Cricetulus griseus: one gene and its partner. The protein of the gene in region 1 interacts with the protein of each later gene in a pairwise test. Links are inferred from orthologs where the notes say so. Each region holds a gene or a part of one and is shown on either strand. Other genes may lie near its edges.

The links. The genes of interacting proteins can lie anywhere in the genome.
Region 2: the proteins of Cnot1 (region 1) and Cnot4 interact in a two-hybrid assay, tested with the Homo sapiens proteins (3 studies listed by BioGRID and IntAct, with this or other methods). The link is inferred for Cricetulus griseus from reciprocal best matches to the Homo sapiens genes CNOT1 and CNOT4.

What each region holds. Positions count from the first base shown.
Region 1 is NC_048596.1:171,916,295-171,926,538, reverse strand, and holds part of Cnot1 (CCR4-NOT transcription complex subunit 1), read left to right. Parts: intron 1-294; coding exon 295-403; intron 404-487; coding exon 488-657; intron 658-1,360; coding exon 1,361-1,613; intron 1,614-4,127; coding exon 4,128-4,376; intron 4,377-5,655; coding exon 5,656-5,819; intron 5,820-6,233; coding exon 6,234-6,351; intron 6,352-7,316; coding exon 7,317-7,418; intron 7,419-8,525; coding exon 8,526-8,699; intron 8,700-9,491; coding exon 9,492-9,641; intron 9,642-10,244.
Region 2 is NW_023276806.1:192,809,978-192,816,949, forward strand, and holds the start of Cnot4 (CCR4-NOT transcription complex subunit 4), read left to right. Parts: upstream 1-1,285; 5' UTR 1,286-1,518; intron 1,519-6,972. UniProt on the Homo sapiens protein: Has E3 ubiquitin ligase activity, promoting ubiquitination and degradation of target proteins. Involved in activation of the JAK/STAT pathway. Catalyzes ubiquitination of methylated RBM15.

The DNA.
Region 1 (10,244 bases):
ATTAAGACTATCTTTTCTCCTGGTTGGGGCTGTTTGCTGAGAACCTCATAGATGCTAAGCCTAGGTTGTACGGTTTTAAAACTTCATACTGATTTTCGTTGGTTGGAGTTTTTTGTTTGTTTGTTTGTTGTGTGTGTGTGTGTGTGTGTGTGTGTGTGTGTGTGTGTGTGTGTGTGTGTGTGTGTGTGTGTGTCTGTCCTGTTAGTCTTTTGTTTATTGCAGTGTCTCTTAAGACATCTTTGTGTAGAACATATTGCCAATTTGTTTAGTATGACTAGAATACTGTCTTTCTAGGTGCCTAATTGAATGTCGAGATGAATATAAATATAATGTGGAGGCTGTGGAGCTGTTAATTCGAAATCATTTGGTTAACATGCAGCAATATGATCTTCATCTAGCTCAGGTATGGAAGAAATTTAAGTAGACTAAAGGATTTAGGGAGTGCTTTTATTTTAATTATTATCTCTCACATTTGCTGTTTTGCCAGTCAATGGAGAATGGCTTAAACTACATGGCCGTGGCATTTGCTATGCAATTGGTAAAAATTCTGCTGGTGGATGAAAGGAGTGTTGCCCATATTACTGAGGCAGACCTATTCCATACCATTGAAACCCTCATGAGGATTAATGCTCATTCCAGAGGCAATGCTCCGGAAGGGTAAGAATGAAATGCTTTGCTTTCCTCATGCACTCAGCAGTCTCAGAGAGCTTTAGAAAATAATGTATACACTAACACTATTTTGTGACTGTTTCACGTAAATTTAGTGACATAATTTTAGTCAGGCCTTGTGTTGTCCTGAAAGTGTGAATGCTTAATCAACAGCCTTCTTGATAATAGATCTGTGCATATAGTAACTGATAAGTTGGCACCAGAAACCTGGTTTTAGCATTGGCTGTTCAGGCTGGAGATAAATGTCATGAAGTGCTTGCAGGAAGATCTAAAACCAATCCCTAGGAAGCTCCCACCCTTAAAGCCAAGTGTATTGGTGCACACTTGTAATGCTAGTGCTGAGCTAGCCACACGTCATATAGCCTAATCAGCAAACTCCAGGTTCTAGTAAGAAACTTTCTTAAGAAACAACATGGACAGATCTTGCAGAAATAATACACAACGTTGTCCTAAGCATGTACACATACATTCACCTGTCCACATAGGAATGTACACGGCACAAAACTGGTGTAGTTGTGCACACTGGTAATCTCAGCACTGGGGAGGCAGAGATAAGCAGATCTTAATGGCTCATTGACCAGCCAGCCTAGCCTATTTGAGTTTCCCAAGTTCTGATAAATGATCCAGTTGTGTATCTCTGAAATAAATAATGGTGGGTTAACTGATTTTCACTCTGAATTTATCATACTAGATTGCCCCAGCTGATGGAAGTAGTGCGATCCAACTATGAAGCAATGATTGATCGTGCTCATGGAGGCCCAAACTTTATGATGCATTCTGGGATCTCTCAAGCCTCAGAATATGATGACCCTCCAGGCCTGAGGGAGAAGGCAGAGTATCTTCTGAGGGAATGGGTGAATCTATACCATTCAGCAGCAGCTGGCCGTGACAGTACCAAAGCGTTCTCTGCGTTTGTTGGACAGGTAGAGCTTTTGGAAAGAAAGGTGCTTTTTATTCAACATAAGTAGGGTGTGATAACTCCAGTATTAAAGTTCAGTATTGTATACCTGTGGTCAGAATTACCTCCATATTCATGCAAAAATATCATCATTGTGCTCTGTTAAGTTGATATGGCCTATGTGTTTTTTTTTCCTCACTATTGATCATACATACTATAAATTCACCATTCCTACTCCAATAGTTCTATTTACCCCATTCCAGTTGTCATAGCTATAATTTGTGGTAGGTCATAATATGAATAACAAAGCCACAAAATATTTTTCTAATAAAATAGTCAGTGATAGATTTTAAGCCAATACATGAAAAATTTTAGAATATGTGCATATGTGGTTTTTTAAAGACAGGGTTTCTATATATACTCCTAGCTATTCTGGAACTCATTTTGTAGACCAGACTGGCCTTGAACTTACAGAGATCCACCTGCCTCTGCTTCCCAAGTGCTGGGATTAAAGGCGTGAGCCACCGCACCTACCTAGCACATTTTAAAAACAAGATACAACAAATCCCCTTTTAGTGGCAGAGTATTTTTATTATATTTTCTCTAGTATATCTGTTTATTGAATCTGATGCAAATTAAAGTTTGAGAGTGTTGGAAATTGAACTGCTTTCTAAAAGTCTAAAAGTAAGAGGCACCATGGCCAAGGCAACTCTTAGAAAAGAAAGCACTTAATTGGTTTGATTACAGTTTTCAGAGGTTGGAGTGTGGTGGCATGTATGGCACTGCAGCAGTAGCTGAGAGCTGCATCCTGATCCACAAGCAGAGACACAGAGAGACATATTGGGCTTGACAGACTTTTGAAACTGTGGAGCTACACAATCTTGTAACATTGTCTCAAAAAAAAAAAAAAAACAGTCCCTCTCTAATGACACACTTTCTCCAACAAGGGCAAACTTCCTAATCCTTCTCAAACAGTGTTCCTCCCTGGTGACTAGACATTCAAATATATGAGTATATGGGGCCATTCTTAGTCAGACCACCACACCAAAAATAAATCGTTATGGTGAGCTGGAGAGAGGGATAGGCAGTTAGAGGACATATTTTGTGCTGTTCCTGCAGAAGACTGTAGTTCCACATGCCAACTGACTGACTCCAGCTCCAAGGATATTCTGTACCTCTGGTCTTTGCAGATCTCTGCACTCTTGCACACATCTGTGCCATTGAACACAAGTGCACACCAACAAGCATGCCTGAGCACTCAAATACAATAAAAATAGTTAACAGAATAAACTGGGAATAGTCAGGGTCCATTTTGTATTCTGTCTTTGTTCATTACTGGCTGTTTACAGTGATGTGAAAAACATGAAGAATTAATGTCCTGACTGTAATAGAACTTGTCAGGAATAGTACTTCCTTGAACTGGCCTTAGAATTTCTTTAATAAAACTGTACAATATTTGTTCAGTAAGCTGTAACAGTTGACTATTCTGGTTTTTTTTTGTTGTTGTTCCCATTTCCTCAAATTGAAACCAAAAGTTGGTGTCTTACCAAAGAAATACCACTTAGGTCTAGTTTTTTTAAAAAAAGATTTATTTATTTATTATATATACAGTGTTCTGCTTCCATGACAGAAGAGGGCACCAGAGCCTACAGCAGATAGTTGTGAGACACCATGTGGTTGCTGGGAATTGAACTCAGGACCTCTGGAAGTATCCTTAACCTCTGAGCCATCTCTTCAGCCCACTTATGTCTATTTTTAAATACCCGACAATTAAGTGTGGGTGAACTAGTTAATTAGTAGTTTGGAGAGAGACCGTTTAGCTGTCAAAGGCTAGGCTCACAACCCCAAATATAAGAATTGGATATACTTTTCAGCATAAATGATACTGGTAAACTATGTCGTGTAAATTTCTTCTGATTCTCAGTCCATTGGAAGAAATTCAGATTCATGGCATTTTGTGGGCATTGTTGTGTTGTGGTTTTGATGTGGCTCCTGTGTTGCTGCCTTTTTTGAGACAGTGTTGCTGTGTAGTTCTGCCTGACTTGGAACTCACTTTGTCCACTAATATTAACAGTATAGAATATCATTACATTTAAATAACATAATTTTGAATGTTTATTAAATAAATGATTTTTCTGCAGATGGCTAGAATTTCAAAAGCTTTGCCATTGGTTAAATAAGAGGAGGGTGTCTGTGAGACATGTACGTTATGGGAAGTTAAACGTACGAGCAATTGAGTCTCCCTGGGAGAACAATTTAACACCTTGAGTTTCTGAAACTTAGCTTTATTTATATAATTTTTCTAGATTGTTTGGAGATACCCTCTTGTTCAAGGTTTATAATATAGTGTCTCTTTGTCAATTTCATTCTTCTCCATGAAATTAAAGCTGGGAGGAACTCTGCTGTGGCTCTTAATAATAAAGGAGTCATTTTCCTAATGGCATCCTTCCACACAGTAAGAATTAGAAATGGAAATAGAGTATGGCTATTTGAAAGCTAACATGTGTAAAGCTGATTTTGAGTATGGTCTCACTGTCTTGGTTGTTTGTTCCCACTGTAGATGCACCAACAAGGAATACTTAAGACTGATGACCTCATAACAAGGTTTTTTCGTCTTTGCACTGAAATGTGTGTTGAAATCAGTTATCGTGCTCAAGCGGAGCAGCAGCACAATCCTGCTGCCAATCCCACCATGATACGAGCCAAGTGTTATCACAACCTGGATGCCTTTGTCCGACTCATTGCACTGTTAGTGAAGCACTCTGGGGAGGCCACCAACACTGTCACCAAGATCAATCTGTTGAATAAGGTTGGGAGTCTTTTCCTGGACCCTTAGATTTTTGTGTTCTGTGTTGTTGTTTGAGACAGTGTCTTACTGTGTAGGTTTGGCTGGCCTGGAATTTACTGTGTAGATAAGGCTGTTCTCAAACTCTAGCTGTAGGTTTTTTCCATCCAAAAATGAAATATAGAAAAGAGTATCCACAATAGTTAAAAAGGTGCTGAAGAGAAGAGGAAAGAGAGAGGATCATAATGTATTTTGGTGTGTTGGTGCTTTGATGATGATCCCAACAGGCAGCAGGTTGGTAGTGTCTTCCTACCTCCAATTGCTGTGTCTGGTCTGGATGGGTAGACCAGTACCAGGAGTGGCATTTAATTATTGACCTGATTTATACAGTAGGATTCTTGAAAAGTTGAATGTCAAACTCTAGTTTGAGAATGTATAAAACTTGGCTGTAGACTTTGCTCTTGGAGAAATACAAGTGGGTCCTTAATGTACCCCCACTGATCAGTGAGTAAAAAGTGGAATGCAGACCTACTTATGTCAAGAGGGGTGAGAACCATTTGTCCCCTGTGGACATTGGGTCCCATTAGAAGACTTAACATTGTGGTATTTTACTGTGATGAAACGTGAAGAGACATCCTGTTTTCTAAAGCTTTAGAAAAACCAGTGGCACCTGTGGAGAATATAGAAGTTTGATCTAATGATAATGAAATTCAAAGAAAACACACAGAGGCAAATATCTCTTTGACTGCCCACATACAAATTTGTGTTCAGATGGCATGTATCTTTTCCTTCATTGTTTGTAGTACTTAAGAGTGCAGGGTAAACCAGTCCTGGTGGTGCAGTCCTATAAGTGTTTGGAAGACTGATTAAGGCAGGAACATCACAATGAGACTTGCAAACTCAAAGCCAGCTTTTGGAAATATTAGTAAGACCTTGTCTCAGAAAATAAACAAAAACAAGCCTGAAGATAGTACTCAAGCAATGGAATACTTGCCTAGCATTTGTGAGTGTGAGGGCCTGGTTTCAACCCAAGAACAAGATAGAAGAATCCTGATTTAGCAGGACGGTGGTGGCGCACGTGCCTTTAATCCTAGCACTTGGGAAGTAGAAATGGGCAGATCTCTGTGAGTTTGAGGCCAACCTGGTCTATACAGTGAATTCCAGGATAGCCAGGGCTGGACAGAGAGAAACCCTGTTTCAAAAAACCAACTTAAATAAACAAAAATAGAGAAAAAGTCATGTATTGGAAGCAGAAAGTGGCTTGTCTGTGTGACTGATGAGCTTTACTCTGTGTTCTGTATAGGTTCTTGGTATAGTAGTGGGAGTTCTCCTACAGGATCATGATGTTCGGCAGAGTGAATTTCAGCAGCTTCCCTACCATAGGATTTTTATCATGCTGCTGTTGGAGCTCAATGCACCTGAGCATGTGTTGGAAACCATTAATTTCCAGACTCTTACAGCTTTCTGGTGAGTGTTGGGGTTTAGTAGAGATTTCCATTTGTTGTTATCTGACATGGGGTCTTACAGCTTAGATTTACCTCTAAAGTTCCTACGCTGCTGAGGCTGGTCTTGGACTCCTAATTCTCCTGATTCTAGCTTCTAAGAGCTGGAATTACAGGCATGTACACATTTAACTTGATTGTTGGTCTTTGTTTCTCGATGGTAGTTCTCACTTGGTAGTAGCGCAGGCTGTGCTGGGATCACAGGCAGTGCCATATTCCTTGCTAAGATTTAAGGACTGTTGGTTTAATGTAGTAAAAATCAAGTAGAACTTTGGTATGTTTAGGAACAAGGTGTTTTTTGTTTTTGTTTTTTAATGAAGTAACTTAACTTGCATTCATGTGTTGTTTACTATATTTAATTTTGAACTTTTTCTTTCAGCAATACATTCCATATCTTAAGGCCTACCAAAGCTCCTGGCTTTGTATATGCCTGGCTTGAATTGATCTCGCATCGGATCTTTATTGCAAGAATGCTGGCACATACGCCACAGCAGAAGGTGTGGCTGCAGTTTATCTCCTACAGATGAAGCCTGTAACTACCTGGGGCTTACTAGCACTGTTTATGTCGGTTTCTGTTAGTTACTTAGTTTATTTTTTCCAGGGGTGTTATTTGGTAATTATCAAAGGTCAAGTCACAGCATGTAAACAGGCTTATGGAGTCTTGACTCATTTAAAGCTTTCATGTATTACTCCTCTAGCTTTGTTATGCATCATCTCTGTTGGTCTCTTAATGTTTTGTGTTGTTAACAATATTTAATATGAGAAGTTTTTCATTTTGCAATTAAACTGCAGAAGAGTACTGTATATAGTACTTTCATTTGGCCCTTCAGACCAGAACTACTATGTGTTGAAGTAAACTGGACAAGAAAGTGAAATAATCACTTAATGAACTGGTTTTGTTCTATGATTTTCATATGCAAACCATGGCACACAGACACATGCATGACGTATGCACACAAAAAGATGAAATATAACTGGTATGGTTGCAGCACGTATAGTAAGCAGGCTGATGTTATAAATCAGCAAGGTTATTTACTAGGAGTTGGGAGTAAGAAAAGAAATAGTTGAGACCCAGACCTTAAGGAATTATGAAAACCAGCCTACAATTGGTTTGGTATTATATCTGAAATTTCCTCAAGGTAGTCTCCTTTTTCTTACTTAGTTTTCTTACAGGCACAAAAGCAAATGTGTCCCCAGATCTCTGGAGTCTTCTTATTCCAGAAAAAGTCATCCACTACCTTAATACTTAGTCTTTTCATTTTGTTGGATATTTGTGTTTTTCTCACCCTCCTATTATATGCTAGCTACCACACTGAGCTAATACTGCATTGAGAGGTCTTGTCACATCAGTGTTTTACGCTTAACATTAGTGTGGATAACCATAGTGTAGTGACTTGGCAACTCTTTTGTAGTTGAACAACTTGAGATGTCACTATAACTCATATACATTTCTTTCTTTTAGGGGTGGCCTATGTACGCACAGCTGTTGATTGATTTATTCAAATATTTAGCGCCTTTCCTTAGAAACGTGGAACTCACTAAACCTATGCAAATACTCTACAAGGTAATTTTTATTTATAAATAACTGAATTTTGTAACATGTGGGCTGTTGTTATTATTCTCTTACAGTTAACACACAGGATACTCAGAAAGCCTTGCTTAAGTGGAAAGTTAGTTTTCCCCCATGTTCTCTGCTAGGGTCCCCCCCCCCCCCCCCCCAACACACACACCATTTTAGCAATTTGATACAATCTCACTGAGGATTTAATTTCTATTTCCTTAATGGTTTTTTGTTTTTTAAATAATTTTTTCTTAGATTTAAGTTATGACTTTTGCATGCATGTAAATGCCCCATGTGTTTGCCTGGTACTCAGTGAATACAGAAGAGGTTGTCAGGGCCCCGGAACTGGTGTTAAAGATGGTTGTGAGCCACCGTGTAGCTTCTGGGAATCAAACTCTGCTCTTCAGCAAGAGCAGCAAATATTCTTAACTACTGAGCCATCTCTCCGGAGATGTTTATTTCTTGAGACAGAGCCTCATTATATAGCCCTGGTTTGCTTAGAAACAGGAGGTCCTCCTAATTCTGTCTTGTTCTTGCTGGAATTAAAGGCATGTGTCACCTGACTTCTTTACTGTGCCACCCTTTTTGTGATGTTCCTTCCAGTAGTTTGCTCACGTTTCCCTAGGATTGTTTGCATTTTTATTTTCGAGTTTTAATTGTTTTTCTATGGCTCTGGCAATCAAACTTAGGGCCTTCTTAGACATACTAGGCTATCTCAGGTTGCTAAGGAGTTCTTACCACCTGTTGATCAGAATTGTTGAATTTACTAAACTTGTCAAGAACTAACAAGCTAGCTTTGATCTCACCCCCATTTTCAGTTAATGTATTATGGCCCCTTCCTTAAATTTTGGTTTTGTCCTCTTTCTAGCATCTAAGGATAGATGCTCCATCATTGTATTGTTTTTGTGCAGAATATATTGTACTTTATATTTAAGGCACCAGCTCCAACTTTATGGTTTCTACATGTAATTATTTTTGTAATCTTAACTGTATTTATTGATTTTTTTATGTTAATAACATATACATATTTTTGACCTAAGTTAGAATTCATGATCGGGAAGAAAAAAAATACTGCTTTCTTAGTGTGGAACGTTTTTTCTTTTTATTCAGGGTACTCTAAGAGTGCTGCTAGTTCTTTTGCATGATTTCCCAGAGTTCCTTTGTGATTACCATTATGGGTTCTGTGATGTGATCCCTCCTAATTGTATCCAGTTAAGAAATTTGATCCTGAGTGCCTTCCCAAGAAATATGAGGCTCCCAGACCCATTCACTCCTAATCTGAAGGTAAAGTTTTAATAGATGGAACATGGTTGTTTTGTTTTCCTTCCTTGTTTCTTTCAATTTTAGTTCTAATCTATGTATATGTGTGTGACTTTATGTGTACCACATGCATGTGGGAGTCTGGAGAGACTTGCATAAGGTAATGAATGCCCTTGAAATAGAATCAGATTGTGAGCTGCCATGTGTGTGATGGGAACTGAAATCAGGCCCTCTAAAAGAGAGACCAGTGCTCTTAACCACTGGGCCATCTTTGCAGTTCCTAAAGGAAAAAGTTTTTATTGTGATTTTCCAGCCCCTTCTATGATAAGCAGCCTATTTGAAATCATTAAATTTAACATTCCCACCCCCAACATACACACACATATGCATGCTTTAGGCAATGGTTGTTAGGGTAGCTAATTCTGATTGGTGTGATGTTGTCCCTGAATATTGGTTCATACTATTTTTCTGGTTATCGTTTCTCATAATTTCGACCTTAAGTTTAGGTATAATTATTGAACCCTAGACTGAATGTTGGGCAATTGCTGGTCCCAAGCTGCGTTATTGAACAAAGTAATCTTTGCAATGTCTATAGTTCACAAGATTCAGTGTACATATGTTTAAATTGTTTAAGGAAAGGGACCACTTGAAAACCATTAACATAAATACTGAGAAATATATAGACAGAGAGAGAGAGAGAGAGAGAGAGAGAGAGAGAGAGAGAGAGAGAATTTTACAAAGCTGTCCTTATGCTTCTGTCTTAGGTATGATATGTTAACTTCTGTGCCCGATTCTGATTCTTGATATTTGTGACAGGTGGACATGTTGAGTGAAATTAACATTGCACCTCGGATCCTCACCAATTTCACTGGAGTGATGCCACCTCAGTTCAAAAAAGATTTGGATTCCTATCTTAAAACTCGATCCCCTGTCACTTTTCTGTCGGATCTGCGCAGTAACCTACAGGTTAATTGGTTTGACTTAAGTTTTTCTCTGCTGTGTCTTCAATACAGGTCACTTTGTGTGCACTGCCCTTTGTGTGTCATTTTCGGAGTTAGTATTTTCAGCCTGATTTGTATATTTAGAAACACTGTTGAATTTGAATGTGGCAATACATACCTGTTTCTTTGGTGTGCTGAGGAAACTGAGGAAGATAGATCACGAGTTTGTAGACAGCCTGAACTACGACGGCATCACCTCATCTCCCAAAACATGCCCACCCTGTATACATACCTAAATACCGTTGTACCTGTTCATTGGGTGACCTTAACTGGGTTATATACTTTACTAATATTTTTGTCATTAACCCAGTTATAACTGAGATCATTAGGGAAGACATTACTTTCCTCTAAGATCTGGTCAACATCCCAAATAAAGGGATTGCATTTATATTTGCTTTATAGAGTAACTTGAAGTGGAATTATCACACTGCAACAATTTCTTTCTCCAAACTTATATAATTGAGGTTATACTTGTTTTGAATGGCTAAATTTTATTTTCTAGCTATATCATGTGCAAAATGACAGTATTTTGGTTTTCAAAGGAACTCACTTCTGGTTAAATCACTTC
Region 2 (6,972 bases), on another chromosome or scaffold:
TTTTCCAAAGTTATTTTCAGGTAATCATTTTATATGATTTTTGTAACTTCAATTCAATTAAGTGTGAGTTTATTACCACTGATTCTTCACTAAAATTATTGACTCTACCTTGAGTGAAAGTGGAACCATAGAAAAATAATTAAAAAAAAAGTGAAATGAGAAAAATGATTTAAAAAAAGTGAAATGAGGGCTTTTTCACTAAGGGATCTCAGATTTTAAAACGTGAGTTTCTTTCCCTACTCTTCCCTTTTCCGTTTTTAATCCTCCCCTCGCGCCTTTTGCTTTCGGGCCTCAAGTGTGCCAGACCGCACTACCACTGTGGTACACCCTACACAGGTATTTTAATGCTGGATTCGAAATTTTGTTTCCTTCCACTTCTCCAAACCCCAGCACGTGCACAGGCGCCGGGACGGGGACGGGAGATCGGTGGCCCTGCTCACTGCAGTTCCCAGCCTGCGGCCCAGGGCTGGGTGCCGAGGAGGTGTCAGCATTTGTAGGACTGGGTGAAGAAGAATATACTCGCCATAAACAGAACCGACCGCCCCGGGACAGGCAGCCAGGCGAGCGCAGCCAAGCGCGGGCCTTGGCTGTTTAGGATCTGCTACTCCGGCGCCGGATCGGGCTGAGGTTTTGCATCGGGCTCTCCGGGCGGCGTGTGTTCGTGCACGGCTGGGCGGGCTGGGCCAGCCGCTCGCACCGGCGGCACGCGCTGTCCCCGCGCACCTGGCACTCCGGGGGATCTCCTCCCTGGAGGTCTTGCCGTAAGGACGAGCTGCAAAGACCGGGAGACCGAGGACGCTCACTCTTCCCCGGGAGCATCCAAGCCTCTGTGCGGTTCAAATCCCGCGCCCTCGCAACCCTCGACCCCATTCCTCCTCCCCCTCCCCAGCGCCCCGGCCCGATGCTACCTCTCTGCGAAGGGCGGGGCGGATAACACCCATCCCCGCTCCCCGCAAACCCTCAGCTAAGTGTCTCGGAGCTCTGGCTTGCTTCCTGCATCTCAGCAAACGCTAATGAAAACCGCCGACCACATGACACAGCAGCCGCACACGAGGGCAGAGGAGGAAGCAAAACAAGAAGAAAGCCGGCGCTCCAGCAGCCACGTGAGGCGAGGAACTCCCGAGCGCCCGCTCCACGGATGACTTCAATTCCCGGCCTGCCTCGGGGCGGCCGTCCTCCGGGGACTACAACTCCCAGGGTGCAGCGGACCAGCCCGCCGCAACCTCCCACTCGGCCGCCTGCCGCTCGTCCCGCCCCTCCCCCGCCCCGCCCAGCCCGCTCGGCATGCGCCTGCGCACCGGAGGCCGGAGGAGTCTTACCCTAATGTAAGATGGTGGCCCGTCTAGCTGTGGAACCCACCGAAAGCTGAGAGTCTCTCTCAGCCGTAAAGGTCGGACTCGCTGAAGCAGTCAGGCCCGCTTCTGAAGAGTTATTTCGCCGGCTCTCGTTCATTGGTCTCCTGTGAGGACGCGGCAGCGCGTGGAGTCGGCGAAGGGAAAAGCGAGGCAAGGCAGGCGGGTGAGTGTCTGCGGGGCTGGGCTTAGGGGAAGCCCGGGGCTGACCGGCTACGAGAGAGCGGAGGCTTCGCCGGGACTGTGCAGGCCGCACCCCCCTTTCTCCCCATCCCCCGCCTCGTCTTCACCCTCCTCCTCCTCCTCCACCTCCTCCTCCTCCTCCTCCCCCGGCTCCCTCCTCCTCCTCCTCCTCTTCCTCCCTCTCCCCTCTACGCCACAGCAGTTACCACCAGGAAAAGGCTGCCGGGCTGGAGGCAGCGCGGCGGCGAGCGCCGGCTCTCTCCTCAGAGAATTTCTTCAATTGGGGAGCCAAGAGGGCTTCTTATCGCCAGCTTTGCCCCGCATTTTTTCCGGCAACAGTACCCTTAGGTCTCAGTCCTCCTTGTTTCTCCAGTCCCCTTTCCCCTCTGACGTGCTTTCCAGCTGGCCCTGGTCTCCGAAGCCAGAACCATCCTCACTTCTACTCCGACCGGTGCTGCTGTTGCTTATTGCCCACCCGCCCTCTTTGGTGCTTGGGGTTTTTTGCCCCCCCTTTTTTTCTTTTGCCCCTCTCCACTGCCTCTGCCCTCCTCCAGTGCTTGCAGTCATGCAGTCAGCCCCCGGTCTGTCTGCCAGACCCGGCTGATTCCGAGGTGCAATCAGTCTCCTTTAGCCACATCAGTCATCCAAAAGCCTCCCCGTGAGTATCTAAATTATGTTGCTGCCCGGTTGCTTCGGTGTAACCCACCTGTTTCTCAGCCTTCTTGAGTAGAGTCGATTCCTTTCCTCTTTCCAATACAGATTCTTTCAACACACACTTCCAGAAAAGGGGAGATGCCTCTTGTTGTTCCTTGAAAAGTAGAGGAAGTTGGGAAGTGAATGAAGTGAGGTGAGGTAGGGTACTGGATCTTTCTTCAGGCTACCCAGGAATTTTTTTTTTTGCATCGTGTGATCTTTTTGTTGCTCATTCACTCTGTTGGACCATGGCTTTTTACTCTCTCTCTCTCTCTCTCTCTCTCTCTCTCTCTCTCTCTCTCTCTCTCTCTCTCTCTCTCTCTTATTTTCGACCTTCTCCATGCCACTCAGCATTCTCCTGAATTGCCTTTCCTCAGGACACTTGATTTGGACGCTGATTATACCCATAAAGAACAGCTTAGCATTTCAAAACAAGATGAATCTGGCTCTCACGAGCGAGAGCAAACACACACACACACACACTCTATGCAAATACAAATGGTATTTTGATCATATGTGTGTTACGGATTCCTTTTATATTGAGAATAGATTATTAGCCACATCATAATGATGTTTAGGTTAATTGATAACATTTATTTGTGATTTGGGTGGAGATTTCCTGGCTAGTGTAAGATTGACCTTTTTTTTTTTTCTCTTTTGATCTGGGAAGTTCCCTCTTTTGACATTTTTAGGATAGGAGTTATCTGAATAAGTTGTGTGGAAAAATATATTGGGTATGTATGCAAAAGAGAAGTTGATATTTTGGGGTAAACTTAAATTCATTTTTTTCCCCATAGAAAAGAAGGGGCTGAGAGAAGTCAAAAAGCTGTGCATATACAGTGGCACTTAGCTGTTGTCACCTATAGTAAGAACTAGAAACCCAAGGGCATGGTTTAGTGAAAGCACAATTGAAATGTACTTGTTTTCATAAAGAAAAGTCAGAGCCATTGCTATAATGCACCCCAGTGAAATAAAGAATTGCCAGAAAAGCAAATAGGGTTATGTAGGTCAGATACACACATGTCAAATTTGAACATAACACATATATATTATATATACATTAATATATATGCAATCTAGATAGTGGTGACGCACACCTTTAATCCCAGCACCCAGGAGGCAGAAGCAGGTGGATCTCTGTGAGTTCAAGGTCAGCTTGTTCTACAGAGCAAGTTCCAGAACAGCCAGGCCTACACAGAAACGTTGTGTAGAAAAAGTGTTTGTTTTGCAAACATATATGTTTGTTTTGTATGTGTATGTATATATATATATATATATATATATAATATATATATATATATATATTATATATATATAAAATATTTAAAGTCACAGTAACAGCCTTGATGCAGTTTGTCTCTTATTGGGAAAACAGTAAAAAACACTTTACATGTAAATACAAAAGTGTCCTCTAGACACTTTTGCACATTACCAGGTTATTGCTTTACATATTTTACCTATAACATTTGAGTATTCTTGTATTTGATATTACATTCTGTTATTGTGAAACAGTCTTTAAAAATGTAAACTAAGGTTAGAAAAGCTGTTCCTAAAGCTTACTTCTTTCAGCCGGGCAGTGGTGGCTCATGCCTTTAATCGAAGCACTGGGGAGGCAGAGGCAGGCCGATTTCTGTGAGTTCAAGGCCAGCCTGGTCTACAGAACTACACAGAGAAATCCCGTCTGGAAAAACAAAAAGCTTGCTCCTTTCTTCTCTCTCTCTCTCTCTCTTTTTTTTTTTTTTCCTCCTTTTCATTTTTAGGCATGGTCTTTGTGTAGCTCTGACCTGGAATAAGCAATATAGATCAGGCTGGTCTTGAACTTGTATTGATCTTCCTGCCTCTTCCTCCTGAGTGCTAGGTGTGCCCTCCTATGCCTGGCCTACCCCCCCCCCCTTTAGCCATTTAAGCCCCTATTTGGCAAAATTGAATAAATCCCTATTCTTCTGAGAATTGGAAGCAATTTTATATAGCAAACCTTGTCTTTCCTTGAAGTTAAAAAAGAAAACTTTTCATTTAGTTTATCAATAACTTGTCTTCAACTCCAAGTAAAAAATAGATGCTGGTAGAAAGCTTCCACTTTGAACAATCTTGTCTAGATACTCTTGGCAGTCATACTTGGCTGAATTGTAAGCAGTATGTTCTGAGGAGAGGACTGTTTGTCTGATAGAAGGGGTGAGTGAGTTTTTAATACATCTTTTCTTTTGTAAGGTATTTGGCTCACTCAGTTTCTTAAGTCATTTTTGTCTCCTCTGAGGTTATCAAATTCTTGCTTCTAGCCTTTTGAAATAAAAGTGAATTTATTTGAGATCTTTAGGATGTCTAGAGAAGATGTAAAAGTTCTTTGACAAATTGATAGGAAGTAAGTTGAATTTTATAAATATTCTTGTGTTTTTATTTGTAACATTTTCAGCATGGCAGTTTTATACTTAATGATTTCCTTTGATAGTTTTGAATTCTTTCTGCCAAGTTGAATAGTTGAAGTCTTCAAATGAATAGTTTGTTTGTATAAGATTTTTAAACGTGAGTTACTTAAAGTTGGCTTACTGTATAATTTTTCAGAAAGTTGCATAGATAAACCTTTAATTTGATTGGGATGAAAGATACAATCAAACAGCAAAATACAAAATAGAATTCTTTTGTGACATTTGTTGACTTCATTTAAATGGAAATGCTAGAGATAACTTGCACCCCATTACTTTGTTTTTGTTGTTCTGAAATGAGGTTTTAATGGTGTCGCTCAGGCTGTCCTGGAGCTGACTATGTAGGCTAAGCTGCCTTCAGGAGAACCATCCTGCTTCAGCTTCCTTAGACTGGAAATAGAGGTGTGAGCTACCCATGTAACCAGTCCTGGGTGAGCACAGAGCATTTTGTGGCACTAGGCTGGAATGTGGAGCCTCCTGCATGCTAGACAGTAGCTTTCAGGGGGGTTTATTGTAAAAAGGGTTTTTTTTTTTTTGTCTTTTTGTCGTCCGTCCCCCCCCTCCCCCCCAGACAGGGGGTTTCTCTGTGGCTTTAGAGCCTATCCTGGAACTAGCTGTTGTAGACCAGGCTGGTCTCGAACTCACATAGATCCGCCTGCCTCTGCCTCCCGAGTGCTGGGATTAAAGGCGTGTGCCACCACCACCCGGCTGACTTTGTGTCTTAAGAGAATGAAAAACAGTTTATTTAAGCAGTTTGATTTTAGAAGCTTTTTTTTCCTTCCTCTTTACTCCCTGTTTTAAGATGAAGCTGCACTCTTCATTTTAATGATTTTTCTATGTGACTGCAAGTAATACTTGATTGAACTGTTACTGTTTTTGTAGAATGTGAGATAGGTTTAATTTTTGAAAGCTTCAGTCTCTGCTGAAAATTCAAATAGTTCTGTCACTACCTATATTATTGCCTTGACGTTTTGTGAAGGAAGTTATAGTGAACTAAGTTGGTTTTGAAACAAAAACAGTAGGGAAATAGGTTATACAGGTTTTTGCCGATCTAGAAACAGAATAACTAGAATGTACTACATACATTTCCCAAAGGATTTCTTAATCTAAATGGAACTTGTAAATGGTTTTCATCCCACCGGAATAGCATGTATCAGATGAAACTTAGTAACACATTCTAAGATTTTATAAACTTTCTGTTCCCTCAGAGTTATTAGGAAAAGTCTACAAATACCCATTCTTGAAAAGAAAGTTGTTGTAATCCTGGCAACTTAAAGACATAATGTATTTTTTTCTTCAAAAATTGAGACTGCATGAATTAATGATAGTGTAATCTACTTCTTTGATCAAGTTGTGGGTATTTACACATTTTATTTCAAAATATTAATCTCATTTTTTTAACTTTAAAGTTTTTAAAAAAATTTTTTTTTTTTTGAAACAGGGTTTCTCTGTGTAACAGCTCTGGCTGTCCTACAACTCATTCAGTATACCAGACTGGTCTCAAACTGACAGAGATTCACCTGCCTTTGCCTCAAGAGTGTTGGGGTTAAAGGCTTTCACCATTAAAGGCCCCACCCATTTTGTAGACTTCTTTAGTTGAAAGATTGTGTGATAAAATGCCAGCTTTCCCAAATGTAGTAATCTAATGGGGTCTCCCACATTATTCTTTCATAATAAAAAAAATGGCTGTCTTTCTGTGTGTGCATTTGTCTGTTCACACAGATTCATGTGTGTAGGTATGCCAACAGCTTCATGTGTCAACTTTAGGAATGGGAACAGAGTTTCTCATTGACCTGAAACTCACCAAATAGGCTAGATTGGCTGGCTTCCAACTCACAGAGATCCGCCTGCCTCTGCTTCCACCTCCGGAGTGCTGGGATTAAAGGCATTGCATGTTTTTTTTTTTTTTTTTTTTTTTTTTTTTTTTTTTTTTTTTTTTTTTTTTGTCAGAAGAGGAAAGCCTAAAATAAAAGATATATGAGTATAAGGCAGTCTGAAATGATTTTCTTTTTTGTCTCAGTGTATTTGTGAGGATGGCTCCTTTATTAAGCTGTTTATATAGGAAGATTTCTCTCTCTCAAGGTTTACTTGTACTAAATGATAGATAGGTAGTTGATGTACTTACTATTACTAGGTGTGCCTTACTATTTGAATAGCATATGTATTAGATATCTCTTCAGAAACATATTGTTTGATATGGTCACTAAATATCTCATCTATTAAGTTAAGCAGTTATGGAATAGAATTAGGAATCAAAATGGTCAAGTTGACTGTGCGCAAAACCAGTGTGTATAAACAAAGCTCAAATATCCAGTGTAGTGGTA